4 linked regions of the Rhinolophus ferrumequinum genome follow. The protein of the gene in region 4 interacts with the protein of the main gene of each other region in a pairwise test. Links are inferred from orthologs where the notes say so. Each region holds a gene or a part of one and is shown on either strand. Other genes may lie near its edges. The genes, in order: NIF3L1, EAF1, EIF1AD and BEND7.

Evidence for each region.
Region 1: the proteins of BEND7 (region 4) and NIF3L1 interact in binary tests that used the Homo sapiens proteins (3 or more experiments, as listed by UniProt). The two-hybrid records come from large-scale screens. The link is inferred for Rhinolophus ferrumequinum from reciprocal best matches to the Homo sapiens genes BEND7 and NIF3L1.
Region 2: the proteins of BEND7 (region 4) and EAF1 interact in binary tests that used the Homo sapiens proteins (3 or more experiments, as listed by UniProt). The two-hybrid records come from large-scale screens. The link is inferred for Rhinolophus ferrumequinum from reciprocal best matches to the Homo sapiens genes BEND7 and EAF1.
Region 3: the proteins of BEND7 (region 4) and EIF1AD interact in binary tests that used the Homo sapiens proteins (3 or more experiments, as listed by UniProt). The two-hybrid records come from large-scale screens. The link is inferred for Rhinolophus ferrumequinum from reciprocal best matches to the Homo sapiens genes BEND7 and EIF1AD.

Annotation. Positions count from the first base shown.
Region 1 is NC_046291.1:30,355,912-30,362,917, forward strand, and holds the start of NIF3L1 (NIF3-like protein 1), read right to left. Parts: upstream 3,004-7,006; 5' UTR 2,938-3,003; intron 2,289-2,937; exon of another isoform or gene 2,142-2,288; intron 915-2,141; exon of another isoform or gene 789-914; intron 693-788; 5' UTR 668-692; coding exon 232-667; intron 1-231. Other genes in the region: PPIL3 (peptidyl-prolyl cis-trans isomerase-like 3), read left to right, coding at 3,867-3,875, 5,122-5,196, 6,278-6,371, 6,738-6,805. UniProt on the Homo sapiens protein: May function as a transcriptional corepressor through its interaction with COPS2, negatively regulating the expression of genes involved in neuronal differentiation.
Region 2 is NC_046300.1:31,205,271-31,212,694, forward strand, and holds the start of EAF1 (ELL-associated factor 1), read right to left. Parts: upstream 3,011-7,424; 5' UTR 2,996-3,010; coding exon 2,632-2,995; intron 714-2,631; coding exon 619-713; intron 1-618. Other genes in the region: tRNA N(3)-methylcytidine methyltransferase METTL6, read left to right, coding at 4,056-4,280, 4,996-5,130. UniProt on the Homo sapiens protein: Acts as a transcriptional transactivator of ELL and ELL2 elongation activities.
Region 3 is NC_046294.1:5,843,927-5,851,863, forward strand, and holds the start of EIF1AD (probable RNA-binding protein EIF1AD), read left to right. Parts: upstream 1-4,917; 5' UTR 4,918-5,059; intron 5,060-5,193; 5' UTR 5,194-5,318; intron 5,319-7,368; exon of another isoform or gene 7,369-7,476; 5' UTR 7,477-7,484; coding exon 7,485-7,571; intron 7,572-7,715; coding exon 7,716-7,824; intron 7,825-7,922; coding exon 7,923-7,937. Other genes in the region: BANF1 (barrier-to-autointegration factor), read right to left, coding at 3,174-3,320, 3,564-3,686.
Region 4 is NW_022680355.1:355,378-363,199, forward strand, and holds the start of BEND7 (BEN domain-containing protein 7), read right to left. Parts: upstream 3,015-7,822; 5' UTR 2,878-3,014; coding exon 2,817-2,877; intron 575-2,816; coding exon 491-574; intron 1-490.

The sequences.
Region 1 (7,006 bases), on a different chromosome or scaffold from region 4:
GCTCAGTCCAGCAACGAAGATTCCCTATGCTTTCCTTACTCATTAATCATAAAAATTTTATTTTTCAAATGCAATTTAATTGCCAGATTTTAGCAACATTATTTTTAAATATATTATGTAAAAATAGAATGGTCCCACCCCTAAAGCAGTTAAAACTCTATTAGAAAGACATTCTAAAATTTCAAAGCATGTATAAGGAAAATATTAAACATAAAAGAAGAGGCTTCTGACCAAGCCCTTTAGCCAACCAGCTGTTGACTCCCTGGGGTGCAGCGTCATAGGCTGTGTGAGGTGAGTAAATAGCGACTCTGTTCTCCAGAGCCCGAATCACCAGGCGCTCCTTCCAGGTTTTCCAGGTTATGCGCTTCATAGGTTGGAAAATAGGTGGATGGTAGGAGAGAATGAGATCAGCCTTCTTTTGCAGAGCTTCCTCCATCACTTCCTCGGTCAAGTCATTGGTCAGAAAGAGTGTGTTTACAGTATGTGGCGGGCTTGGTTCCACCAGTAATCCAACATTGTCCCAACTCTCAGCAAACGACAGGGATGCAAAATCATTCAAGGAGGAAAGGAGAGCCTTCAAATCCATGAAGGAACAGGAAGAATTGCAGATCAGGGAATGAACTAGCCGAACTGTCGTGCGGACCAGGTGTACACGAGATGACAACATACAGAAATCAGGTAAAACTGAGTATCTGAAGTCAGAACAGAAAATGATACACATGTACACTTTAGGCCCAGACTTTTGAGGCAATAAAGCATATGAGCAAAAGAGCTACAGTCATACATACCTAGGTTCAAATACTGGCTCTGCACTTACATGTTGTGGGGACAGAGCCCCAAAAAGCAGTTTCCAGGCTCTCAGCCTCACATAGAAAGGTGCTGGCTCAGGTAGTAAATGGCCATCGACTGTGATCAAATGGCCAGCAGCTGTGGCTAGTTGGCCGTCAGCTGTAACCAGTGAGCCATTGGCCACGAATATAACTGCCGTGGCTAGGCTAGCAGAAAAAGGGGGGAGCTAGCAAGAAGATGGTGGCTGAGCCTGCAAGCGGCGCAGTGAGGGTTGAGAATTGTGTGGCTCCTGGTTCCTGTTTCTCCAACCCAGCCGCCAGCGAGAGTATAGAGATATGACTCCCCTACTTATGGCTCCGTGGGTGTTCCTTTTTGGCCTAGCCATATCCTGCGTTTTTGTGTGGGTAGTGGGACCAGAGACCCCGCCGGATGCTCCGCACGACACTTGGCGTAGGCGGCAGGATCCCCTGCGCTACACATATTATCTTGGGTAAGTCATGTAACCTCTCTGAACTTGTTTCCTCATCTACAAAATGGAAATACTACAACCTTCACAGGCCATCTGGAGGAGCACATGTATTAATATGTGTAAGTCAACTAGCACAAGACTGGTACATAATACACAAATGTTCATCCCCTCCTCTCCGGCCCCCACCACACCCCTGTTCTTGTTCTCCCCACCCTAGCTTCCACCACTCTCCTCCCTTCTCCATTTCTCTAAATATTACCCTATCTTCCAAGTTCCTTTCAACTTCCTAAATAAAGCTTTTTTTGACAAACCTTTCTTTTCAGTGTCTCCCTACTCCCTGCCCCACCCCGCTCTGCCCTGGTATTCTCATAATATTATATTCCTGTTTGTCTCCCCAGTATGCTAATACTACAGGAGCATAGGAACTATCTTTCATACGTCTCAGTATCACCAACATAGGCCAGCACTAGATGCTTACTGTACAGATGTACACAATCCCCCTCCCCCATCACAGCAGAACTTGGGAGTTAGGGTGGTATATATTGGCATTGAAAAGTACTCAAAGGGCAGGAGCTGCTGCCCCTGAACCAACACCTGCTACAGGAAGGCCAGGCTCAAGAGGTGAAGGTGGAGGGCACTTTGCCCAGAGTCTGTAAGCCTTCTAAGACAACCATATCCAATACAAAAGATAACATTGTCAACTCCATTCTTAAATTAATAACCGTAAACACTTTTGTTTTTTAAGAAAAGCATTTCATTGTATGCCCAATAATTAACAAGAAAGCATAGCCAATTGTAAATTTAATATTCACAACCCAATGATTTCAAAAGCAGATTTGGGGCAACATTTCTACAGCAAAAATATTTGAGATGTGAGTAGTACTTCAATATAGGATTTGAAGTGATGGGGCGCCTCCATTAACCACTCAAGCCTGGGGTACTGGAAGATCTTCTCAGGTCCTTATAATACCACTTCCACTCTGCACATTCCACATCCTGATAGTTCTCCATTCTCCAGACTCTTCTAAATCTGGCAAGTGCAAAAGTGAAGCTCTAGTGGGCCAGCCCCCGTTGAGTTATCTACTGTTACTTATGAAAGAGCACTTGGAAATAACAGACACCCACCTCCCCTCTCCCGTCGCCATTTCACAGATTAGGAAACTGCAACTCTGCGTAGCTTGATGCCACAATTAATAATGGGAGGCGGCAGAGCATGGTGGGTAAGAGCACGACTCTGAAATCAGACTGACAGACTCCCAAAGCTACCGCTGTGTAACGTTACTTAACCTCTGTGGTTTCCACCGCTAAAGAATGGAAATAAATGCCCAGCTCATAGGGTTGCCTCAAGATTTAACCGTAAAGCTGGAAACAATACTTGACCCGTGTTTAGTAACATTAGTAAGTCCCACTATACAGCCTGCAAACTACACCTTAAGTTACCTCATCTACCCTTCACTTCCGTCCCACTTCAGGCCTCTCCCAGGACAAGAAAGAGCCCTTGGCACAGCCAGTAACTCGTTGAATCTGGACTCCTGCCCCACTAGTGCCCTACGCTCTCATACTGCAAGCCAGTTTTCTGCCTCTATCACCTCTTGGACCCCTGTCGTTGCACTTTGCACACAACAGCCTCATGCCACAAGAACCTAAGTCCGCCGGGATTTAAGTCGCTGAAAACTCACCAGTCCTGGAACACTCTTCGTGCGTCACTTCCGGTCCCGTGCGGGACTTCCGGCCTGTGGGAATAAGTGAGGCAAGGGAATCAGGAGGAAGTGGTCCTTCCCATTTTTACCTCTGAGTCCAAGGATTGCTGCCCATAATAGTTCCGGGCTACGTGTCTCGTCCTAATATAACTATTAAAAGAGCTCCTTTTCACTGTCAAAAGTGTTTCAGGTAGGGGTAAGTTACATTGTCTCCCTAGTTTTAGACATTTGGGTTTGAGACAGGGAGGAGAGGGGAGGAAGGAGGCAAGCTCATTAGGGGCGTTCTCTCGAATGTGTCCCACGCTCGACTTCCGGTGGCTGAAAGATACTAATTTTCAATTTAGAGACCTGGCGGAGGTATCTGCGATTGCATCTTTCCTGTTTTAGCTACAGTTGTGTTAATCGAAGTGGTTAAGTAAGTATGGGGTAACGCGCTCATTCTTTCATTAACTTATTTAAATGCTTGCAGAGCAGTGTGTTTTAGTTCTTAGGCTGCTTAGAGTGAGCATTCTGGGCGGGAAACGGCAGACTTAATAAATTAATGAAGTATATGGTATATTAGTTATAAGTGCTATGGAGAAAAGAAAATAGGACAGGTACTAGGGTTAAGGCATTTTTAAATAGAGTTATCAAGTCAATGAGACCTGCCTTTTGAGCACAGACTTGGAGGCTGAAGAAAATAGCCGTATAGATGCCTGAGTGTAAGCGTTCCAGGCGAAGGGAGCAGCCAATTTCTAGGCCCCAAGTCGGCTTGTTGAAGGACTTGCAAGGAGGCTCTTGAAGAACAGTGAGTAGGGGAAGTAGGAGGTTGAGGGGCTTGAGTCGGAATTCCTCATCACTTCCATAATCGGATTTTTATTTCTTGGGAGGTGCTCTTCGAGACTTTTAAGTATGCAGTAAACGTGAGCATGAGTGAGGTAAGAGAGACAAATCAACTTAATTCTTTTTTCTTTTGGTAATAGAGATTTGTTTTCGAACTTCTCTCAATAAGACTGTGAGAAATTAAGTAACAGTAAGAAAAATGGTAAGTTTTATAGAATTCTTATGAATATCTTTCATTGTAAGTAATTTTTAGAAATTTAGTCAAGGGAAATAAAACGGCATGGAAATTTCAATAAGAAGACAAAGAAAAGTGGTAAGCTGTAGAATCATACACTGAAAATATTCTAAACAAAACCAGAAGTAAGCAAAATTACTTTTAAATTGTTTTTGTTTTCACTTAAAACACACAATTTATATTTTGTGGAAAAAAGATTGACTACAAGATATAGAGATGAAAAAGGTGAGTAGGAGGAGCAGAAGGATATAGCTAGGTGTGATCATTATAATTGGAAGCTTTTCTCTGTATCTAAGGTGAGCGAGCAGCTAGAGCTATAAGTAGGTGAAAAACAATGAAAATAATGTCCTGCCCCACTCCCACCCCACCCGGTGCTCTCAACAGGCACACACACTCCTCTCTATTTTCAACCTGGGCATACTTTCTGAATGCTAGATACTATTAACAAGAATAGAAATGAAAAAGGAAGCCCCAAAATACATTTCCTTCTTTCTGGAATGGGGTAACAAAAGGAATATTCAAGCTACCAAAATAACAGGTAAAACAAACAAAAAGCAAGCATGCAGAGTACTATGGTTACCTTTGCACATTTACAATCTAGAAACACTGACACTTTTTACGTCTTGTCTTTAGTTGAGAAAGAAATTGTTTTTTAGCTCTGCATCTCATAAGTAAATTACATAAGGGAAATGGTGGAAACTATATTTTGAAATTCATTTTCTTACTATTGTTCAGTAAATGTCCGTGATGTTAGTGAATGCCATTTAAATCAATAATACTAATATTACAATTGTTTTTATTGATGAAAAATTGAAACTTAAAATAATTATTTCCATCACAATATTTGCTCCCCAGTTTTTAGCATAGGTGCTATTTTACCCTAAACTTTATATTTATCTTCTGGAGTTTTTTTCCTACTGCAGAAGTAAATTTTGAAGAAATATAACTTATCTCCCAGAGCTTCTATGTGGACAGGTCATCTCTGAAACAGTATTTCTATCTGTTTTTATTTAGGCTGTCATCTTTAATATCTAGTTAGAGAAATCATACAGTGCATAAAGTCACCTGAAGAAATCTGTTTTTCTCACATTCTCTCTCCTTTTTAGTCGGTGACACTGCATACAGATGTAGGTGATATTAAAATAGAAGTCTTCTGTGAGAGGACACCCAAAACATGTGAAGTGAGTATCATTATGTACCAAAAAAAAAAAAAAAAGAGTTAATGCAGCAGATAACTATTTTGAAATTGAACGATTCAAAAATAACCAACAATAAATAGCCAAAAACCTTTTCTATAAAACCATTGTCAGGTAAAGCCAGCCATCATAATTTCTGGCCTAATTTCAACTTAAACTTTCTTGATGTCAAAAGTGGATCAAAGAAAGTGTAGATAATTTTTCTCTAACCATAGAGTGGCTGGTATCTTTTTCTTTTGGCTCATTTTCCTCAGGAAACATAAATAATCATGAAATATCAGGTAAGAAAACTGTTCCTTACATTATCTCACTTGTTTAAATGACAAGGATAGAACGAAGAAGAGTCAGCTTTATATATTTATTTATTCAACAATTATTTATAAAAGGCTATCTTGACAGTGTCTTGGAATAAAGTGATGAACAAGAAACATTCCTTGCCCTTGTGAAGATACTATTCTAGGTGGGAAAATAGGCCAGAGTAAGGGTGGGGTGGGGTGGGAGGGCTCATTCTCAAAAAAAAAAAGTAATTCTAGAGGGTGATAATGCCTTGAAGGAAATAAAATGTTAAGATAGAGGATAATGGGGAAAGGAATTATTTAAAAGAAGGTGAGGGCAGGCCTACCCAAGAAAGTGATACTTAAACTGAGTGTGAAAGGTAATGAAGGCATCTCCATGGAAAGATATATAAAAAGAACATTCCAGATATAGAGATAGCAGATACAAATGCCTCAAAGTGGGAAAGCCTACCTCTTTTGGATGAATTTTCAGGAGACTGATGGGGTTAACATAGTAAGCAACAGGGATGGGGTTATTATCATATAAGATGTAGAGTTGGACCAGCTCATGCAGAGCTTATTAGGCCCTGCTGAGGATTTTGTATTTTATTTCAAGAACTGAAGGAAGCCATTAAAGTGTTTTAGTCAGGGAAGCAACATTATCCAAAGTAATGCCTAAAAAACATAGTTTAAATATGCTGTTATAGTGTTTTCAGTAAATACAATTAGTTTTATATCTTAAATTTGTTTCTGCTACATGATTTCTCAATCATTGTTTTTACTCTCTTCAGAATTTCTTGGCTCTCTGTGCCAGTAATTACTACAATGGCTGTATATTTCATAGGAATATCAAGGGTTTCATGGTTCAAACAGGAGATCCTACAGGTAAGTTACTCCATTAATAGCTAGGGAATTGGGTCTATAGTGAGAAGAAGAGGGTAGACAAAGAGTAGGAAAATAAAAGCATGTGGAGTTTTTATAACTGGGCTACCTTACAATAGCAAGCAATTTTTAAGCTGAAGCTACTAGCACCTAGCCCTAAAATATGAATAGTACTAATAAGGAGCATTTTTATTTTTTCTACAGATACTTTATTTTTCTGGTTTGTAAAGTGAAATTTTGGGAAGTAAGAGAGGACATACTAAATTTTATTTGTATTCAAAGAGTTACACTGTAAACCAGCCCTTAAGTTTTAGAAAATAAACCCTTTCTCAACTTTAATTAGATACTTCTGTTTGTCTTGTAATATAGGTACCGGAAGAGGAGGTAATAGTATCTGGGGCAAGAAATTTGAGGATGAATACAGTGAATATCTTAAGGTATGTCCCCAGTGCTTCAAAATCTGTTTTCTCATGCCTTGTTTACACTTGGAAATTTCGATACATATGTTCTAGTAACACAAGGTAACATTATTAGTAAGCAAATATTAATACTTTTTTTGTGAAGTTTTTGCACACTTAATAAATGATATCAAGGAGAAAATATAAATGGTAGTTCTAACCTAAAATATATACTGGAAT
Region 2 (7,424 bases), on a different chromosome or scaffold from region 4:
TGTGACATGCAATGAATGACACATGTTCGCTAAGAGAATTCTGTCTAATCCTTCGGGCTTTGTGATCAGAGTGCTGCCTTGGGCAAGGCTTTACAAAAGCCTCTCTCTGCAAAGGTTCTCAGTTCAGCTTTTAACTAAGTTCTGCATTGTTCAACTAGCTGAATGCTCTGAACCTCTGGTTCGTGCCTGAAATGATCGGCCTACACTTCACCCTCTGCCAGATATATGAAATAAGTAAATCCTACTCCTACCCGCCTTAACTTAACTCTTGGTTTGGCAGCCCCACTCTCCTAAATTGTCATTGCTATATATCAGCATGGCACCTAGGGCTTTTCTCTATGTCTAAAAGAGGGGCTAGGTGCCCAGGTAGGATCCTTGTCTACTTTGTAGCAAATGGGGGGAAAGGGAGTGTGGGGAAAATGGCAACAAGAATAATATTTAATCAAGCACCTGGGAAGCATGAATTCCACTCCAGGCTATACCCCAAATCTCCTTTTTCCTTCTGTTGGCACTTTAGAAAGTTTTAAACAGTAGGAAATTCAAATTGTAATAACATGAAATATGAGGATTCACAGTGATTCTACATTTAAAAAGACAACAACAATGGAATAAACTCACAGGGATATGTGGCAGCGTAATTGTGACTTCATCTCCTTTGCCAACCTGAAGCTCTCCTTCACAGGAAGTATCTATAGATGCTGGCTTAAAATCATCTAAAGGGAAAGGAAAAATAGCATTTATCCACCAGGTTACTTATACTAAGGACTTTCTGGGTGTGCTCATTTAAGAAATATTTTTTTTTATTACTCAGATAAATAGAAAGTACAAATAATTTAGAATATTAAAAAAAACCTATTTTACTGTGGAAAACTTCACAAAAGCAGAGACATTACAACGAAACTCGGTGTACCATCATCACCCAGCTTTAATAATTACCAACTCAGGGACAATCTTGTTTCATCTATACCCTGATATACTTTTCCTCCCAACCCCCAACTGGATTATTTTGAAGGGAAAAAAAATCTAGAATTTACATACCACTTTATTAAACAAAGATATTCCCTTCTCCCCAGTGACAGATGAAAATGAATGCTTATTATCCACAATAAAGTGTTTTGTTAGGGTTGTTGTGAGGCTCAAAAGCAACAGCATATTAATAAGATTCTGTGATTGTAAAACTCTACATGAAATGCCACAGCATCATATAAGCTGATGTCATTTTGCATAGGAACTGTCAAAATTAGGATGTGCCACACAAAGATACTCCTGCAGATGTTCAGAGTAGATGGTTGAACTGTCTCCACAGGTTAGTCCTGCCCATGTTTCTGAATTGCAGTTCAAGTACAACATGAATGGCCATCTTACTCCATCCATTGTAACACACACCTGCCTCAAAACGCAGGCCAGATGCATATGTGAAGTGTCTCATTTAAATTCTACATTGCCCTTCACTTTGCTAAAACATCAACTTAGTAAACTGCTCAGGAAATGAAGCTCTTATCACATTCCCAGTATCTTCCCTCTAAGAGAGCTGATGTTTCCAGTAGGAATCATCGTAATGGCAAGGCAGAGCCACCACACAAAGATGGAACATCATTATCTAACGCCCTCTTGCAATGTGTTGAGTCACATCTATTAGCTCCTTTGACAAAAACAAGTCTTAACCAGCGTTAGCACTACCGAGACAGGAAACCAGGAGTTGTGAATCACGGATGCTCCGTCAGCTCATAAAAGCCAATCTTCCCCCGGGACAGAGTAGACGTGCCCTTCCTTCCTCAACAGTCTATAATCCCGTAGAAAAAGGAAGGTCCAGCATTCATGGCGATTGCGATAGTCTGTGTGTCTACTCTCTTCGGCCTCCAGACATAGATCAAGCTTTAACTTATTCCAGGCTCACAAATGCTAATTTTATTCTTCATCCACAAGGGACCAGGGCCTGAGTTAAAGTCAGGGTCGTAGAAGTGACCTCAAAAGACATCAAAAGTCAAACGAGGTGCAGGAAGCTGTAAGAGGAACGCTCTGATGGGGCGCAGAGAGGATGTGGATTCTTTGGCTGCAAGAGGGGATGAAGCGCAGCCTGTCGGGGTGCCCCGAGTAAAGACGGACGAGGAAAGGAAGCTGAGGAAAAACAGGGAAGAAGAGAATGGAATAGAAGGGAGAGGATGAGGCTCCCGAGCAAACAGGAAGAGTCCTTTAAACGTGGAGAACCTGGGTGGGGGCATCAGAAGGGGCGGGGGATGGATTCGAGGGAGCACTGGAGTCCGATGTGGGGTCACACTCTTTCGGTAACAAAGAGGGTTTGGCAGGAAGGGTGGGTGGGGGCATGAAAAGAGAGAAGGGCCAATGGACTTCGGAACAAGTGTTTGGGACCTTGAGACACAAGAATAGTTGACAGTGACGAAGGGTCTGGTTTGGGAAGAGTAAGCTGGGGGCCAAAGGGGGGACATCGAGGTCCTGGAGGATCAAAAGGGGAAAATCGAGGTCCTGGAGGACCCGGGGTAGGAGAGAAGGGAGCTGACGTAGGCAGGGGCTTCTCTGTACAGTGGAGGGCCGAGGGAAGAGAGGAGGGATCCGAGGTTGGCACCGGGAGGCTGGGGAAGCCGAAGGGACACGTGGAGAGCGCTGACTTACAGCGAATGGTGTGGAAGGAGGCTCGCGGTCGCTTCTCGAAGCTCTCCCCCAGCCGCAGGCAGTGTTCCTCGCGGTCCAGCAGCGGGTTTACGGTCCCGTTCATGGCCCCACACGGGCCTCGCGCCCGGCCCGGCGCTACCCAAGTACGGCCGCGATCTGAGCTTCCGGCACCGGCGTCCGGGAGTACGGTGCTCCCGTGACACCGCTCCGGAGCGCACCGGGAATGCCGCCGGCGCCCACCCAGGGCCGGAAGCAAGTCTCCGCGTCGGGGTGGGGGAAGCCCCTGAGGAAGCAAGGCCTCGGGACTTCCGGCGTCGGGGAGGGACTTCTGGGTTCGTAGCGGAAGTGGCGGGGGCGGTGCCATAGCAATAGAATTCCGCCGGGAGTCTGAGCTGCTCAGCGCTGGTTAGTTCAGACGCGGGTTTGGCGCGGCGGCTCCCAAATTCTGCTTCCGAGGTAGGGGCCTGGCGGAGGGCTGAATGCGCCTGACACTAAGTACCCCTCCAGTTGAGTCTAGGAGCTGATGACAGTGCGCCCAGAGCGCCGCTGACTAGATTAACGCGCGTCTGATAGCTGGCCTGGCCAGCTCTCCTCAGGCCCTGGCGGCCGGGTCGGCCTGGTTTATCCCGAGTGTCCCGAGACAGATGACCCTACACCGCGCGTCACGCAGTCTCTTCCTTCCCTTCGCGCCGTGATGGCGGTGCGAAGGCCTGGAAAGCGACTCCCCCGCTGGTTTGAGGCAGTTTCTTGTGAGTGCGATCAGAGATTCAGGCCACCCGAACGTAGTAGTTCCATCTTCCCCGAAAAAAACTGCGTCTCCGATCCTTGGGAAACCATGACCCCCACTTCTGTCTGGCAGTTAACCACCCTCCTCCAGTTCAGGCACCTGTTGCGGTTGTAGAGTCACCCTTTTCAGAGGCGCACCGAAAATTAATGAGTATTTTCCCTCCAGGGTTTCCCAACGAGTTCTTGGCAGTATCCTTTTTCTAAACTAAACCGATTTATTATAATAGATGACTTAGTCTGGTTTGAATTAGTGTTCGGTGCAGGCGAGTCCAGGGCCAATGAACGTAAGTCCTCTGAAGGTAGGCGCTTTGTCTTGCTCTTCTTTGTGACCTCTCCTATAATGGGCAGGGTTTTGTGTAGAGTCAGCACTAGTAAACGTTTGGTATATTGAACTTTTGGGTGAAAGGAATGTTGTAGAACCACTAACTCAGTATCTTAAAGAACTGCTCTAAAATTACTAACCAAAATCTCATTCTTTTTCCTGCGAAGCAGAAATGCTCCCGGAGGCTTGAACCCAGCCTGAGGAACCACATCTAAGAAAACCCCGCCTGCAGCTGCAGATTCAGCTTGGATTCCTCAAATTATTCAGGGATGGAGCATCTTCAGCAGTGTTAACTCCATTACCATTTCCCCAAGAGATGGCATCTTTGCAAAGGGAAGGGCTTCAGGCAAGGATTCTCAGCTCTGAAGAAGAGGAGAAACTGAAAAGAGACCAAGTTTTAGTGTCTGACTTTAAACAGCAAAAACTGGAAAAAGAGGCTCAGAAGAACTGGGACCTTTTTTACAAAAGAAATAGTACGAATTTCTTCAAAGATAGACACTGGACCACCCGAGAGTTTCAGGAGCTCAGATCATGTAGGGAGGTAATGTTACACCTTATTTGAGCTGTTCTTCGTTTAAAATATGTAGAAGAGAAGTGCTTTCTTGCATTTTTATGGAAGTGTGAGGTAGAGAATTTATGAAGCCTGTCAGAATGCTTTGTACCTTAGAAATACTCTGTTTGGTCTCAAGTAGTTTTAGCAGTTCCTGGGTTGTATAATACGTAGGAGAAAGAACTTGAATGGGCATTTCTGTTTCTTTAAAGCTAATCTGAAAGTTGTAAATATTAAATTTATACAAAGTGACTTCAGTGACAGATTCAGATTCATTAATGATGATGATGATAAACACTTTACCATGACCCTTTTCTAGAACTTTTCATGTGTTTTGTAATTTAAGCCTTATAATAGAACTGTGAAGTAGGCATTAGTATTATCCCCTTATTGATAAAATTGAGGGAAAGGTTATTTAAGTGATTTGTCCAATGATAGAACACGGGTGAAGGAAGGAGTCTGGATTGAATGCAAGCAGTTTAACCCCTGAGCCTGTTCTCTTAGCCATTATCCTGTTTTCTCCACACCAAATTGCCCCATGTTGGATGACAAATTGAGATATCTGTATTAGCTTTTGGATATCAGTTTACTTGTTTATTGTCTGCTCCAGGAGGCAGAGACCTTTCATGTTCTGGACCTTTTAATTTGATTTGTTTCTTCATTATGCAAATATAGTGTCCTCTAACTTTGAGTTCTCTTTTCTCAGTTTGAAGGTCAGAAATTGACTATGCTTGAAGCTGGCTGTGGGGTTGGGAACTGTCTATTCCCGCTTTTAGAAGAAGATCTGAATATCTTTGCTTATGCCTGTGATTTTTCTCCAAGAGCAGTTGAATATGTCAAGGTTGGTGCACCATCCTGGTATTTTATGATTGTTTTGTTGGACTTGTTTGACCTGCCCTCTATACCCATTTGTCCAATTCCAGACCTCTCCCTGAAGCTAAGCAGCTGTGATCACCATAAACATGTTATAGTTTTCCTGTTTACATACATATATAACACATTATAGAAACAGCTTTATTCAGAAAAGTAGAAATACCATAATGACACTATATACTTATACCCAGATTTAATGATTTCCAGTATTTTTCCACATTTGTTTTATAGACTTTTTTCTTTCCTGAACCATTTTAAAGTAAATTACAGACACTTCACTGCTAAATATGCCTGCATACGTCTTCAATAAGGGTTTTCTCTAACTGACCACAAAATACTTACATCTAACAAAACTAATTGTAATCCCCTAATGCCATTAGTACTCAATTCAGATTTCCCCAAATAGTCCCAGGTATCTTTTATAGCTGTATTTAATCAAGATCTACTTACCCTTTATTGGCAGCATGCAGATATCTAGTTTTCCATCAGCCCTTCACATTTTTGGCATCCGTTAGACTTTTTAATAGTGCAGTCACATTGTACTGTAACTTAACTTTTCTCACTCTACATTATGTCTTGCAGTGTTTCCTCTTTGTATATATAGGTCTACTACATTTTATTTACCTGCTGCAGTATTCCGTAGAATGGATATATCATATTTTAACAATTACCCTGTTGATATTTATTTAAATTGTTTCTAACTTTCTGCTCTTATAAGTAAGGTTAACGTAATCACCATTGTGCACGTGCTCTACAAAACATGTGTACACGTGTCTCTATGGTGAATAATGGAAGAAATAGAATTCCTCGGAGAAAGAGTATACATATTTAAATTTTAATAGATAATGCCCAGTTTCCTTCCAGAATATTATACCAATTTATAATTTCACCAATAACATAAAGATAACTTTTTCTCTATGCCCTCAACATTTGATGTCAGTCTTTATTTCTCCCAATCTTATGGGCAAAATAAAATGTCTCCATATTTTAATTTGTTTATTTCTTATAACCAGTGAAGTTGAAGTCTTTATAATATGTAAATAAGCATTAGTTTGGGTTTTTTTCTGCTTGTGAGTTCCTTTATTCCACATATATTTATTGGGAGCCTAATGTGTGCCAATGAGTGTTGTAAGCACTGGGATTAAGTATAGTTTATTCAACATTGTTTTATGATATTGTTCTATGATAGGATTTAAATTATCAAATTTGAATTTATTAGTCTGTTCCTTTTGAGGTGCTAAGGTTTTATGTCTTGTTTAGGAGTTATATAATCACATATTCTTTTTATATTTATTAATTTGGAAAAATTTTTGTCATTATTTTTTCACATATTTCTTCAGCTCTATTCTCTCTTCCCCTAGGATTCCAATTACATGTATGTTATACCATTTGCTATTGTACCACAACTCTTGGATGTTGTTTTGCTTTTTTGTTTTTTTAAACTTCTTTTCTCTTTGTATTTTCAGTTTGTATAATTTCTGTTGCCCTGTCACCAAGTTCATTGATTCCTTCATAGGCAATAGGCATTCCTATTAATGAGCCTGTCAAAGCATTCTTCATTTCCGTTACTATGTTTTTGATTTTTTAGCATTTCCAGTTGATTCTTTTTGTAGTCTCTCTTTCTGTGCTGAAATTACCTATCTGATCTAGCATGTAGTCCACCTTTTTTATTTGAGCCTTTAACATATTAATCAGTTATTTTAAATGCCCAAACTTTTTAAATTCCATCGTTTGTGTCATATTTGAGTCTGGTTGTGATGATTGCTTTTTCCCTTCAGACTTTTTTTATTGTATTTTGGTATGCCGTGGTTTTTTTTTGTTGTTGTTGAGAGCTAGATATGTTATATAGGGCAGTTGATACTGAGGTAATAAGGATTTGTAATCTAGATAGTCGGGCTGTGTTTGAGGTCTGTTGTTGCTATAGTTAGCTGTGAGGTTTATTGCTGCTATGGGTACCACAGACTTCAGTCTCCTCTGGTGACTGTTTTTGTCTCTCCCCTTAGCTTTGGATCTTCCCCTTGGGCTCTTCCCCATAAAGAGTCTATCTCTTGGCAGCTTCTCCAGCTGCAGGCCACTATTATCACTGGAGACTTGTGGGAGAGTATGGGAGAAGGGATTGTTCTCTAATGTTCTGATTATCGGGTTTTGAACTGCATAGTCCGCCTGTGTCTCGGGGGTGTGGACTTCACAAGTATCTCTGCCTCTCCAGGAATAGTGCTTTTCTGTCCCATCCCTCCCCCGGCTTTAGGGAGATATCCACCA
Region 3 (7,937 bases), on a different chromosome or scaffold from region 4:
CTCATGAGTAGAGTGGCTGAGGGGGGTCAAGCTCTGGCTGGGTGCAGCAGCGGGGGAGGGCTGGACAATGACTTTGGGTCAATATTTGCTGACTTTCAGGCCCACCCATACGCCTTGCCAAGCACGTCCTGTTGGGTAACATGGGCTGACATTTAGATAACCTGGTATCTACACATCCCCACCTGTCTGCTTTCTCCAATATCGTAGGCCTGGGGCCCTTTGTCCTACTGGCTGAGTTGGGGTTGGATCTCTGAGAGGCCACACTGTCTCAGGGTACATTCAGCATGCCCTTTGTCTTCTGCTGTTCCAGGACTGATCCAGGAAGCTGTGCGGGGTGCACGCAGGGGCCAAGATAAAGGGTTCAGGCCTTTCCAACCTGTCACCGGTACTGCCTGAGCACCGAGGGAGGTGAGAAAGCAGGCTCCAGCTTCCTCAAAGCGTGTGGGTGAGGCAGAGAAGAGCCCGTGACATGGAAGCAGAGCAGGCAGTGTGTCCCACAGGGTTCTGGCAGGCAGGCCTCGGTGCCAGAGCCATGGGCGGCAAAACTGGACAACTAGCGTGGGCAGGACCCTGGGAAGGGCGCTGTGGAGGAGGAACCAGTCTCCATTACCTCAGAGTGCCAGCAACAATCTGGCAGCGTCAGGGCTGGGGTGGGGGAGCCCCCCAAAGCACACCAGGCCTGTGTGACAGCATCACAGCACAAGAGTCAAAGCTGAGGGGACTCTGAAGTGACCCTGGACCCATCCAGGAAAACATCAGAAACATAGGTAGGCCTGAAACTCCTGGGACAGTCTGCATTACCATCTCGGTCTGGGCTGCAGACTGGCACCCTCCCAGGAGGTGGCCTGTAACACAAGCCGGGCCCTGCTCTGGCTACCTGGTGCCCTTCCAAGGGAGCCACTCAACTTCCCAGACCCAACCTTGCTCGGAACCCTCATCTGTACTAATAACCACCATAGTTTCCAGTTACTCGTATAATCGCTCTATACCCAGGTCTTTACTTTGGTTTCCCTTTTATCTTCCTTCTTCTATTGAGACGGAGCTAACGTCAAGTACACAGAACACTTCTGTTCCCTTTATCAGTTGACACCTGTACTACCACCACACAGGTCAAGAAATGGAAACTGCCACTCCCGCCCCCAGGCTGTCCTGCTCACCATACCCACGTCCCACTCCCAAAGGCAATCATTGTTGACATTTGCAATAACCCATTTCCTTGCTCTTTCTCGTTTTACCACCTATCTAGAGATCCCTAAGCAACAACTGACCTGACTTTACGTGTATATTTTGATGTTTGCTCAGTATTGAGTGTCACCTTTGTCCCACAGCTGTTGTGAATTCATTTCCCCGGGTACTGACAGCCATCAGAGCTCTTCCAGTTGGGGCTGTTAGAAAAAAAGCAGCTCTGAAGGCTCCCGTCGGTGCTGGAGCAGGTGTGCGAGTGTCCTCGGTCATAGCTCCAGGGCAGTGGAATAGCTGGCTCACAGGGTGGGTGTTCAGTTATAGAAAACACCCAACTGTTTTTCCCAAGTGTTTAGACCAATCGCCATTCCCACCAGCTGGGTATCAGTTCCTGTTGCTCCATTTCCTCATCACTTGGTATTGTCTGGCTTAAAATTTCTGCCAATCCAGTGAGTGTATAATAACACCTCATTTGCATTTCTGATTACTAATGTAATTGTTTTGTTTGCTTTTCTTCACTGCAGTTATGTTATATACTCTGGATATAGTACCTTGTCACGTATGTGTTACAAATATCCTTTCCCACTCTCAGTCAGTTTTGTCTGTCACTCTCTTTATGGTATCTTTAGATGGAGTTTCTACTAATGGAGTTAAATGTATCAACTTTTTCTTCTTAATTTTTCCCTACCCTGAAGTCAGGAAAATCTTCTCCTGTTACCCCAATGTTTGTATTTAATGTGTGTCGGTCTGTCCTCACCAGACTGGGAGCCCTCTGAGGAACGCCCTTTACGCAGCAGTTCCTCAGCGAGGCCCCACTCAAAAGACTGAAAGCCAAGCAGGGCTGGGTGCTGCACAGTTAGCATTTCATCTGATCCTTACAACCATCTCATTTTCCAAGTGGGGAAACTGAGGCTCAGAGAGGCTGAAGGATATGACCAAAGAACACAGGGCTCTCAGGTATATGGGCTTCTAAGTTATTTTGAGAGCCAATGGGGGCACTTCCTAGCAGAAAGTCCAGTCTCTCTGAGTCCCTGGTTTCCTCACCTGTAAAAGAGAAAACAATTCTTTACTGTGGAAGAAAAAAATATTGATAAAGATCTTAGCTGTGGGGCTGGTTCACTAAGCGTGCAATCAAAAATAGGATGAAAATGTACCAGATAAAAGTGTAACTCGCCCTCAGCTGTGATCCCATGCTCTCTCTGCCTCCCAGACCGCAAGAGCCCTGCCCACTCCTCCCAAAGGCCAGGAAAGCACATGATGATTAGCAGGTGAACTTTTACCCACATTCCGTCCCCCTCTTCCTGGTACCTCTGACTCCCACTTCCTTTTCCACCAGGTGCCGGCTAGCTCAGCTACTGACTCAGCTGACATCGGGAATGGCACAGCACACCTGGATCCCAGGAAGGGACCAACCCACACTCTCTCCCATGTTACTACGGGATTGAGGCACTCTTGAGGCACCTGCCTGAGGCTTATGTGGCTAGGGTGGCTGCCCTCCGGTGTACGGAGGAAGCTGCCAGTTTCGACTGGCACTGATAAGGAGTGTGACAGACCTGATCAGCCCCTGGGGAAGAGGCGACTCCCAGCCCATCTGTTTTTCAACGCACAAAACCCAGTCCTGAAGGCCACTAACTTTATTGATTTAAAAAACTTTGTAAGGACAACGACTATTCTGCCAAAAGAGAAGCCAAATGGCATAAAACAGACCGGCGAGGAGGGTGTGGGTGAGGGAAGGGGCCAGGAATCCACTCAGAAAAGCTGGTAATTATCAACATGAAATTGGCAGGGGAGAGAAGAGAGATGCATGCAAAACGAAGAACTTCTGAAAAAGTTGAAATGGTAAGGGGAGAGAACTCCCTGAAGACCCTGGATGACACTGCAGGCTGAGCAGACATCAATCCTTTGTACAGGGCAGGGGAGGAGCCCCCACTCGGCTGCAAACTCTGGAGACTCAAGGCTGGGGCTAGGGACTGGGGGCTCCCCAGAGTGCATCACAAGAAGGCATCGCACCACTCTCGGAGGCACCCGAAGCAGTCCCGGGACTGCTTGGCATTGGCGCCACACGTGTCCTTTAGCCATTCCCGGAAGAGGTCTTCATCTTTCTTAAGCACCAGAAACTGGCCAAGGACCACATACGCCTGCAAAACAGGCAAAATAAAAGGCATGCTATTCAGTGCCCTGTGGGACTAAGAACAAGGCCACTCCTGTGGCATTCAGAGCACATGAGCCTAGGAGGCAGGGCAGGCTCTGGCTACCTCTTCAGATTATATACCACGGTCCTCCCCCACCAGATACACTCACTTTCCTCGCTCCCAAACTGCCAGGCAATACTGTAGTCTGCCACCCCCAGCCCTCCCCAGCTGCATGCAGCCTCCGCACACCTTGTCAAAGCCCCTTTCCTCCAGCTTCTTGCCCAGGACTTCACCAATCCCGGCCAGGCTCCCCACTGGCTTTTCCCCCATGGGCTCTGCCACGAAGTCTCGATGCTTTTGGGATGTTGTCATCTTGATCAGGATTTATCTACGAATCCCAAGAAAAGGTAGGTTAGGACTGAAAACCCGGGAACTCCCAAAGGCCCACTGGCAATATCATATTTAAAGGAAGCTAGACCAGCGATTATGGTGGGTTATTCGATTCCCCTCATTTCACGGATGAGAAAACTGAGGTCCAAGGCAAGTTTTTCCCACTACTCAAGAGAGAAATCTCTCTCACTCCCTGCGGGAACGGGGTTTTGGTATTGCCCCAGAGGAAAGACTATCCTGCCCTATCAGGTGGCGCAGGCCGGTCAGTAGCCAGAACTCGCCCTGAAGGTGTCACTCCCTCTGTGACCTTGGCTGGGCAAAGGAGGTACTGACTCTGCCTGGAAGGGCTATCCAGCCAGAAAAGCAAACAAAGGGTCCCCCTGCCCCACCCGCCCCAATTGGCTGCTCAGAGAGCACAGGCACGGGCCAGAGCGCACACCCCAGCTCAGTGCCCCAGCCCCACCAGGTTCACGTCTGGGCTCCCGCCGCGCCTCGAAGGCCCCGCCCCCGAGACGCGTCGCCCCGCCTCCTCCACGCGCCGCCGCGCCCGCGCGCCGCGTCCCGCCCCTCCTCGCCGGGCCGCCAAGCCCTCTCCGAGGGCGCATTCTCTGGCTGGCCGTGGCGCTTACGGCTTCCCTCCTTCTCGCGCCTCCTCTGCCTCCAGTCCAAGCCCTGCTGTGCAGCGCGCGCTCACCGGCAGCTTCAGCTCCCGTAACGGATACTCCTACCGCCCGGCTGCTCCCGCCGATACCTCAACTCACTAGAACGTTCTTCTACTTCCGCTTCCGGGTCGCCTCAAGAGCCACTTAAAAAATGTGGCACTTCTAGCCACTCAGAGCCATAGAGATGAGGCTCCCTGGACCTCACGGCGGCCTTAGAAGGGGCTCCTTTCCGGTCGCTTCGCGGGAAACCGGGCTGCCTTCTATTGTCTCGCTTCTCCAGAAGTACTTCCGGTCTCAAGGAGCAGAGGCTTCGGTGGAGAAAACTTTATTTCCCCGCTGCACGGCATCCGGAACTCAAGGACTTAGCCTTTGGCGATCTGGGGGTGGGAAGAGTTAAAGGAACGGACAAGGAGGGAGGAGCGTGGCCGAAGGCTTCCGAGAGGCCGCCGGAAGTACCGTACTCGGAAGGGTCCGACTCAGGCCGATTCGTGTCGCCCTCACCGCTGTGGGACTTGTACGAGTCCGGCAGGAGCTGGAGACTCCGGAGATCTGTGTCCAAGTTGACGCTACCGTCGTGATCGCCGGCAAGTTCCTTTTCTACGAAGTGAGTCGTGGACGAGCCGCTCCCAGCGAGCGTCCAGCCTGAAGAACGGAATCGTTCAAGCAACGCCTTTGGGAGAAGAGGGCCAGAAAGTAAGTGTGGGGTCTGTGCGCGTCTTACCTCCGGGATAGGGAGGGAGGAGGGCAGGAAAAGGCAACCTGAGGTGACACGCGGAGTTTCCTTTAGAAACCACCAGTCTTGGTGGTGCCAATTCTTGTTTTCTCAGAACCCGTCAGAAACATAGCAGATGCCGCAGACCACGCCGGCTTTCCTCGACCTTTAATGAACTCGTTCCTGGCTTGGACCATCTCGGTGGTCTCCAAACTGGTCTCTTGTCTGTAGTCTGTTGAAGTGAGTATCTGTGTTGTATGGCTGTGCTGTATTTGGGATGTACAAGCATATTGAGGAAGATAGTTTATCTCACACTCCTCCGTGAACGGTTGCCAGAGTGATTTATTTAGTTTTTATGTTATGCCAGTACTTAAGACAACATGACTTATTTTTATCTGCCGTACACTGTGCTAAGTGCGTTGCTCACATCATTGCATCGTAATGACAATGTTCTGGGTTAGCTGTTATTTTTCTTTGTGGCTTGGGAAAGTTAAACAGTAAGGAATGTCAATGTAAGAACGTCCAAACCCATAGTTACCGGAGGGTGTCCAGGTTCTTGGCATCTGGAACAAAGAATTGAACGAGATACCGTGATCAAGTGGTGGAAAAGCAATTTATTAGAAGAGATAGTACTCTCCAAGGAAATAGAAGCGGGCCGAGCAGAAAGCAGTGGCTCAAGGACCATTAAGAAAAGGGATAGTACACTCCAAAGAGTGTGGAGCGGGCTGAGCAAAAGAAGAGACTCAAAAAAGGACCCCGGCTCAAAGGCCCAAAGGGCTAAGGGCCCAGGATCAAAAAGGGCCTGACTGGGAGGACTTGGAGTTTTTATCCTTTTTTCCCTCTAGAATGGGCAGTTCCTTTGCGGGAGTGGGACCACTTGATTGACACCTGTGATTGACAAGAGGCTATTACCTCATCTTTTTAGACTGTGCATGTTCTTTCCCAGAATTCAGTCTGTTATAATGATATTAATGAACTCCCAGGCGTATGTATGATATTATAATGATGGGATAATGAGGCCCAGGTGAAATTGTGGTCTTTGCTGCTCAGGAGTGAGGGGCTGGTTTAATCTAGTTGGGTATTTTGTACCCATTTGTTCCTCATAGGCGCAGATAATTACAATGAAAAGGGGAAGTTTTGGGCGGAGAGGGGAGGTCTTCTGGGCAGTCGCATTCTGTTCAGGGATGCAGAGACCTGATGCCTAGCTCTAACTGCGTGCCTTGTTTTCCCCTTGAGAGACATGATCCCCATAAAAACTCTATGGGAAGTTGAGGGACAGAAGGTCTTTTTTTCTGTATCTGCTTCCTGCTGGACGGGGGCGAAGATCTGTCCCTACCTATTGGGGGATTCACGGAACTCTCGCCCTGTCTGATCTCAGGTGAGAGGAAGGGGTCTCGGGACCTGCCTGGAAGACCATGTTGGCTTCTTTGGTTGCGACTGGCAATCTTGCTGGGGTATCCTCTGTATCCCCAAAGCCCCTGAATGAGGAAAAATAGATTTTAATTAATAAATCCATTAGCACTATGGAGCCTGTGGCCATTCAACCATTTAGGTGGCATCAGTTGTCCAGGAGCTGGGCCCAGAATGGGTTGAAAAGAACCTTAGGCTTCACTGATTACAATTAACAAGTATACTGGCCTGGGGGGTCTGGAATGGCTTGGAGGATGTTGGGAAGTCATAGGCTTTTAAGAGACATTCTCTGATTCAGGCGAGGAGCACTCTTTAGTCTAGGATTCAAAAACTGATCAGAAGAGTAATCAAAACCCGGGGCTAAGGAGCTAAGAAACTAGGGAAAAGGAGACTTAAAATTTCTGTAGTGAGGGGCTCTCCCATATCACCATGGAGAATTTTTATAAGAGTTTGAGCCAAACCGATGACCTATGCTAGCAAGCAAGATCTAAAATGCTCTGGAGAATAATAGTTTTGCAGTTTGTTTTATGCCTTAGAAAGTAAGGAGGAGGGGTCTAAGGAAGATGACTTGAGGATGGGAGAAAGCAGGGCAGGGATTGGGTTGCAGAGTAGTTAATAAGATTATGTGCTATCTTTGAGGGTGGTCGTGCTTTAGAGGGGTATTACTTGGCTGGCTTAAAAACCTTTGACTAAAGAAGTTATATGCCTGGGGTGTGACCACCCATCATGACCTGCTCATTTCTGAATTTATGATCAGGTTACTCTGTTTCCATGGAACCCCTTTTTTTCGTCCACAGGAAATAGTCAAGGTAGGATTTCAGTTCAAGCAATTAGATGTTAGAGCCCACGTTCTTAACCAGGACACTGTGTCACTCCCCAGTAAAAAGTCCCTCCCCATCTTCAAAACAGTCCTGGGTTCTGAACCTGCCATCCAAGAAACTCAGGAGCAGGAGTTGACAGCCTCTGCGTCCCTCACCTCCCGGAACAGGACCCAACATGTCTCGGGCCACCAAGAGGAAGCACGTGGTGAAGGAGGTGCAGGGGGAGCACATGGTACCCTCCGAGAAGCAGCAGATCGTGAGGGTGAGTAGCATTGGGCACAAGCTACTCCGTCCCCCACCCCTCCACTCCCGTTGGGCCCTGGGGTGGGGGAAGAGTGCAGGGTGGCGCAGGGGGTCTTTGAGCTAGCTGATGAGGCCGACTGGTTCTTGGTCTCTCCTGGACCAGGTACTCAGAACCCCAGGGAACAATCTGCACGAGGTGGAGACAGCCCAGGGGCAGTGCTTCCTGGTGAGCATGCCCTCCAAATACCGCAAGAACATCTGGATCAAGAGAGGTGAGAGAGCCGTCTAAGACACAGAACCACTTCCAGTGACCTTGGCTTCCCCCAGTGCAAGCTGAACTGACTCGACCTTTTCTCCTCTCTACCTACAGGGGACTTTCTCATCG
Region 4 (7,822 bases):
GCCACAAAGGTGAAGGGACATTATAATAAGACAGCGTATTAATCCTCTATCCCACCCAAGGCAGAAGCAAAACCAAACAAATAGCAGCTTCCTGGAAATTGAATTTCTGTTATCCAGATGTCAAAGATGTAATACCCCAATTACACAAACTATTGCCAGTGAAGCATGCCAGCAAATATGCAAAGTAAATGGGGTGAACGCAGAGCGACAAAAATGCACCGTCAGCATCTGGCTCTGGGAGTGAGTGATAATTAGCACTGTGTGTAGACACTAATAAACATTTATGTCTGAAATTACAACTTTTAGCAATGTTAATACGGGATATATTGGCAATCTGTGAAATAAAAGGTATTGAAAAGAATGTCATACATTAAGGAATGGCTGACATTTCCCGTTCTGGAACAACCCCTTCCCTCCTGCCCCATCCACCCCCCCCAATTGCAAATGGCCACGCTGTTTTGCTGAGAATTTAATTGACATAGGAACCTACCTAAAAAAATGGGTTGTGTCTCTTTGGCCTCCCCATTGACATCGTTGCTGAATTCTGAAATCTTATATACCTCATGGTGATAATCTGGGACGAGAAAACAACCAAAAATTAGAATTCTAATGGCCTGCAAGATATGAATAAGCAATAAAGACTAGAATCTCATTATATATATTATGGATAACCGACACTTTAACTTGTGAATATTCTTTTCCAGGACTCGGTCAGTCATAGAATTTGTAGTCACTGAGAATCCCTAAAACTTTGCTTACTCTGACTAAAGAAGTACACAAACTTGAAATATCACTTTGACTTTAGCTTTGTTTGATCACCCGGTTTTCACAGTAAATTTGGCCCACAGATGCCAATTATTAGGCTTCTTTTCTTTCAAATCACAAAGATGTTTATAAGGAAAAGAAACCTTGCCCAATCATAGGCCAGGGGAGGATTCCAAATTTATCTCCACAACCCATTTTCATGAGCATATAACAGTATGCTTTAGAGTTACGTGGCACTCTCAGTTTACCCAGAAAAGTCCCCACCTTTAAGTAGCTTACAGGCAATCACACTGGAAAAATACTGATTTGTCGTTTCAAATATAGTATAATTTGGATAAGAAAGCAAGATTCTCATCTTTTACACAAGTGACTCTTCTGCATTCAGCTACTGCACTTTAATATGCAGTAGTTTATTTTCTAAAAATGCACCTGCAGTGCAGAGAGAAGAATCAGACCCATAATTTCGTGGGGGAAAAAAACAACAGAAAAACTTGCTATGTTGGTCAAACTTTAAAAATACAGTATTTTATAAGCTTCTCTATAGAGGCTACTGTGCTTTGGCAATCTATTTCTAAAATGTAGGATTGCCTAGGTAAGAAAATAGAGGTTCCTTCTTAACAACTATTACATTTTTTTTTTTGGACTTGGACCTCTCAGGACAAAGTCTACAGAACTACTCTCACTTTTAAGATAAAGTAGTAAGTTCCCTGAGGTCATACATAAAAGAGCAGCTCACATTCCTGAATGAATCAGATAGACCCATAAGCCAGTCACAAATGGAGGAAGAGATATTTAAAGTACAAATGACTGAGTAATCAACAGTGCTTGGGAAAATGAACATAGGTAAAGGAAAGGGGCAAATATTTTGAATACGTAAAACTATTTCAGGTCTCTTTCATTGAAACAGTGTCAAACTAAATCAGGGGAAACAGATATGAGTTGATCTTTAAAATGTCTATAATAAAACCATTTTCAGACTAAGCTAAAGCAGGCTTTATTGAATCTACATCATACCGGTAGTTGTAGTTTAGCTTAGCTTGAAATACTCTATTACTTGGAACTGCTCTCTAATTTTCATCTGCTTACTACATGTGACTTCTCCAGGTTGTTAAAACAATTGCCTTGTTCGCTACTCTGATTCCATAGCTAGACAAAGCAAAAAGTGGACAGGTTCTGTGGTTTGGTTTTGACCTCAAGTTGTTTTAAAGAAGGTATTTCAACAGGATGGTTCTAAACTCAATATTAGGACTTGTGACATTACCACGAAAAAAAGTCACCTGCCTGTCATTTAAGGTGACACAATGCATTTTGATAAACATATCTTTACGTCTGCTCTTAACTTCTGACCGTTTTTTTAAAAATAGTCACATCAGGAAAATAAAGACTAACAAGTAACTGAACACAGACTGTTCAACTGATGACACTATCCAACTTGGTGTACACCTGTTAAATCGTCTGGAACTGGCTGGATCTTTATTTTTTAAATAATACTTTGACTGCTAAGTGATCTATTCTGAAACACCTTTCCAAATAACGTATCTAGAAAAGATGCTGGATGTCAACAATTCTTACGTGGGCTTGTACGCCTCATGAGCTTCTTTCTCATTCTTAAAAGAACCATCACCACCTTTTTTGTTTCTCTTTGGGGAGGGAAAAAAAAACACAAAACAAAAATAAAAACGAAAAACCCAAGACCACAACCATTGGTCGGGATGATGTGTCCACACGGCCTGGTGGAAAGGCAGTTCTCCCCCCAGCCCCCAACCTGGCCACAGGAGTGGAATACCAAAGAGGGCTCTCTGCTCCCCAAGTGTCATTGTTTGCTAATTTCCTTAGTGCCCTGCGACTTGTTTACGCGGAACAACAACCTCCTGCCTTCCCCCGGCACAACTTTGCTCGCCGCCCGGCGTGTGCGGCCATGGCCCGCCTCGGCAGGGGACTCGGGGGTCCCGGAGCCCCGGAGCGGGACGAGCCGCCAGGACGCGGGCCGCGCGCGGGGCTGTTTACGCGGCGCCACGTCCTTCCCCGCCGCCCGGCCCGGCACCGCTTACCTCGGCTCACCAGTTTGAAGCTCTGGGATTTCCTGCTCCTCTTCCTCTCGGAGAACTCCATGGTGCGGGCAGGAGGCGGGAGGCAGGGCTGCGGCCGGGCGGAGGGAGCGGCAGCCGAGGCGGCGGCGGTGGCGGCGGCGTTCGCTCTTGTCAACCGGCCGCGGGAGCGCCGGGACCAAGGTCCGTCTCTGGAATCCGCAGGGGGGAGGCCGAGGGAAGGGAAGAACCACCTCGAACCCGCTCGGGGGCTGCGGCGCGCGGGGCTCGGCAGGAGGTGCTTTCCCGGGAGAAGTTGCCCCCTCCCGGCCGCCGCCTCCGGGTCCCCTCCACACGCCCCCCGACCCCGGCTCCTTCCCGGCTTCTGGGAAAACGCGGCCGGAGCCGAACTTTCCGTTGGGGAGCGAGTTGGGGGCGGGGAGGGCGGGCCGGGGCCGCGGGCGCCCCGGGATGTCGCCGCGGGCCGGCCTGGGCGCAGCTCCGGACGCGGCGGCGGTGGCGAGCGCGGCCCCGGGGACGCGGCGGGCGGGCGGCGGGCGGGCCGGGTCGGGGCGCTGGCCACCCCCGCGGGAGGAGGGGCACCGGGAGGAGGCGGCGCCGCCGGGACCCCAGGGCCACCTGCTGGCGGAGCGCGGCCGCCGCCATCCCTGGGGGCCCCGGCAGCCGCCACCCACCGGCCTGGCCGCGCGCGCCTCGAAGAGGAGCCGGAGGCCGCAGCGCCCTCGGCCGAGCCCGGCCGGCCTTCCCCCAGGCTCCTTAGGCCGGCGCCGCGGGGGTCGAGGAGTCGGGGCGCCGCTCCCCACCGGCCTCTGGCCGCCGCTTCCTGGGGCGGATCTTGTCATAAATCGTCCTGGGTATCGGGGACCCTCCTGGCCAGCCCCTCCTTGACTTGAGATCCAGGATGTCCAAGGGCCAGACTCACTGGTTTTAGGCAAGTTTTAGGAAACACAAATACCCAAAACTTACCCATCTGCGCTCTGCAAGGAAACGAAGAGATTTTAGAATTTACTGGTGAGAAGTGTATTGAAAGTGAGCTTCAATTTGTTACCCCAATACAAGGAGGGATGTAGGAAGATCCGGAGTGATATTTAAGGAGAGAACTTGGAATGTGGGACTCCGAGGGGGTGAAAGGATGAGGGGTGCGATGTCAGTGGGTGTTTGATCCCTCCGCTGCCTCTTAGGGAAGAAGAGGCAGGGACAGGGGGACTCTGCCACTTGATGTAGTAGTGCCAAAATAATTGACATAAACAGAATACTTTTATTACTTTTATATAATATTCTTGTCTGGGGAGCTAAGAGCACCCCATTTCCTTCTCACAACATCTTTAGGTTGGGGATGGAAAAGAATTTTACACCACCTGGGAATGGCAGTACAGGATCTGACATGCTTTAAAGGACCTCTCCAAACTGATCATTTCTAGACTCAAATACAGAGAGTAAAAAGATGGACAACCCATTCAGCACTGGCAGATTCAGGTGGCCCCAAAAGAGTAGAGAGGAATAAGGGGAAAGGGTATCTTGATAAATGTAGTAAGTTCTATGGTGGGCCTCACTCAAATGAGGTGACAGCCACTCAGGGTTCACTCTTACTGAGCAGGGACATAACAGAGTAGGACAATTTTCAGGAAGGGGGATGTTGGAGGCAACTAGCATAAACATACGCACACTGGGAAACAAAACCAAGGAACAAGGTAGACAACCACGTAGTAGAAGCAGGGCCTGGTACACATCCTGAGGTCTTAGGCAGTGAGGCTTAAGGGGGAGCAAGTGGGGAGGCGGGTTATGCCTGGCAGGTATCAGGAGAATTGTTCATTCAGTTCACTCAAGCAAACCCTTAAACAAGAGGTTCTTAGCCTTTTTGGTCACTATCTCCTTTAAAATTATGTTCAAACATCAAGGCCCTTTTCCCAGAAAATATGTTTAGGACAAACAAAATTTTGTCTAGATTTTTTAGACCTCCTTGGAGCTCTAAAAGGTGGTATAAGGGATGAAAGTGATAACAGGGATTAATTCAACTACTTTCTTTTGTTCTCTTCTATTTTTTCCCTCTCTCTTGCCTTAAAACCAAGCAGTTAAAAACCCAAAGATGTTTTGAGTGTTTCTAAAGAAACAAAGCGTATGATTTTGTTCCCCAGGCTAGGACCCTTTCCTTTTTCTTTTTTTGTAATTTTTTTTTTTTTAATGTTAGTCCAAAAACCACAAGGCTGAGTACTATGCCAACTGAACATTTAAGATCAATCATTCATGCCTTGGAGCATAAAATGAGATTTTATTATGTTTAAACTATGATGAAATGATTGAAGTTGCCATACCAAGAAGCAAATTCCTAGGGGAGATATTAACAACTTAGCATATTCAGTTCAAGTGGGAATATGAATTCTATTTACTAAAGAAACCATTTTTGATATAGTTAAGAAAATATTTCAAAGTAATCATGTTTTTAAGTAATAATCATTTTCCTTGACTCTTTTTCCTGGCTCTCCAAAGATGGTCTATGAGCCAGTTCAGCACCAGAGGCCGTAGGTCAGGTCTGTCCTGTTAACACATAGAGAAAATCAACAAATATTTATTCTCCATGTGATGCAAATCATCATGCCGTTGTATAACAAAAATGTATATATTCACAATTAACATTAAATAAAGATTAATTATTTAATGAAAAGAGATTGCTTTAAGGGGTAGGTATCTGTATTTGTTGCTTGAGCTGCCATAACCAAAGACAATAGACTGGGTAGCTTAAACAATAGAAATTTATTTTCTCATAGTTCTGAAGGGCAGAAAAAGAGTTCTGATCTCTTTCTCTTCTTACAATGCACTAATCCCATCATCAGTGTCCCATCCTCATGACCTCTTCTAAACCTAGTTACCTCCCAAAGGCCCCACCTCTAAATACCATCACGTTGGGAGTTAGGGCTTCAACATGAATTTTCGAGGGACACAATTCAGTCCATATCAGTATTATTTTTGGTTAATTGAATACTGTTTTTGTGTTGGGTTGTCCTGGGAAGTCCTGTAGGAGATGGAGTAAGGTAATCTCCCTTTATAGTTCAAAGCCCTCAAAAGTTTTAGAACTTCAGCTTTACATGTTATTAAATATTCATGTCAATATATATATAAAATATTCTGTGACTTCATGTAAGCATAACATCTTATCATATGGCCATTTCTAAACTCAGTTGTTTATAAAGATTAAATGAAGGTTTTAATCTTGGAGAAAAATTTGGCCAGAAAACATTAGGTGATCTTAACCCCAATTCTTAAAACTCTTGTCTTAAAAAGAATAGCATTGTAAAAATTTCCACCTTTATTTAGAGATCTGCTGTCCAATAGAAATGTAATTCTAGCCATATATAGAGTTTTAAAGTTTTCTAATAGCCATATTAAAAAAGAGTAAAAATAAACAAGTTAAATTCATTTTAATAACATATCTTACTTAACCCAGTATATTTAAAATATTATCATTTTGACATGTAATCAATATAAAATATCAATGAGATGGTTCACATTTTTTGTATGAAGTTTTGAAAATGATGTGGTTTTTACACTTAGAGGACAAATCAATCCAGATCAGCCAAATTTCAAGTGTTCAATAGCTACATGTGGCCAGTGGCTACCATATTGGACAGCTCAGATTGAGAAGGACTCTGATTTGAGCCATATGCATAGATATGACTACAATCAGATTATTGTTTAATTGTTTTATCAATAACCCTCAAAAAGCAGGAGATAAACCATATGGTATTATTGGGCTTGGTGCTGTTTGTAAATCTTTGATTGGAGTCTCTGGAATTGAAAATCCTGTGACTAAGTAGATTTGGGGCGACTTCAGGAAGATTTAATACGTATACATAGTAACTTTTCAGTTTTATAACAGTTGCCCATCAGAAGGCTGATGGAAAGAATAGGCAGCTCTACTTTAGTCCCAATATGTCACTTTGTTGCTATCCTAACTCAAGTTTCCACTTTCATTTATTTTATGGGTTTCAACAATTGTAATTTAAAAGAAAGAGAAGTAGTATTTATAAGAGATTATTTAAGTGAAAATGAGATCCTGGAATACTCTACAAATAATATTACCTTATATTTATATGAGGCTTCTCTTATAGGAGCACAAGGATATTTATACATTATCTAATTCTCTTAATTTATATGAGGTTGGTAGATACTAATATTCCAGTTTTGCAAATGAGGAAAGTCAGTTTTCATAAGACCATTTTTTTAGTGAAACTCGAATGGCATGGTGGGTTCCTCACTATCTTAAATGGGATGCATTAACCTTAACACCTTTCTGTCCTTCTTTAACGTAAATTTTAATGTTTTTTCTTATTAATTCTAACTCACATACAGTAAAGAGCATAAACCTTAAGTGTACAGCTCAATCAGTTTCTTTCACTTGTGTATATATATCCATGTAATGCTCCCTTCCCCCAGATTAAGATAGAGAACATTTCTAGCATACCAGCAGGCTCCCCTGTTTGCTGACAGCATATAACTCCCCCCAAAAGCCACAATTCTAACTATAGTTTGGTTTTGCCTGTTCTTGAACTTCTGTATAAATGGAATCATACAGTACGTACTGTTTTCTGTCAGGCTTCTTTTGCTCAACATTACGTCTGTAAGATTCACTCACGTTGTTGACTACAATAGTAGTTCATTCTTTTTCATTGCTGTATATTATTTCATTATAGAAATATACCACACATTTTAATTCATTCTACTGTCAGTGGATATTCTTGTTTGTTTTAGTTCATGCCTTTTAATGGACATAAGCCCACTTACTCTTGTGTATAAATTCATGAGTAGAATATTTGAATTATAGCATACATATACGTTTAGCTTTAGGAGATACTGTGGAGTAATTTTTCTAAGTAGTTGTACCAGTTTAGACCCCCACCAGCAGTGTATGAGAGTTCTCGCTATTCCATATCATCAACAACACCTGATGCATCATCAGGGGTGTATTGTAGATGATTGTGATTTTGATGTACGTGCCCCAATTCACCAAGCAT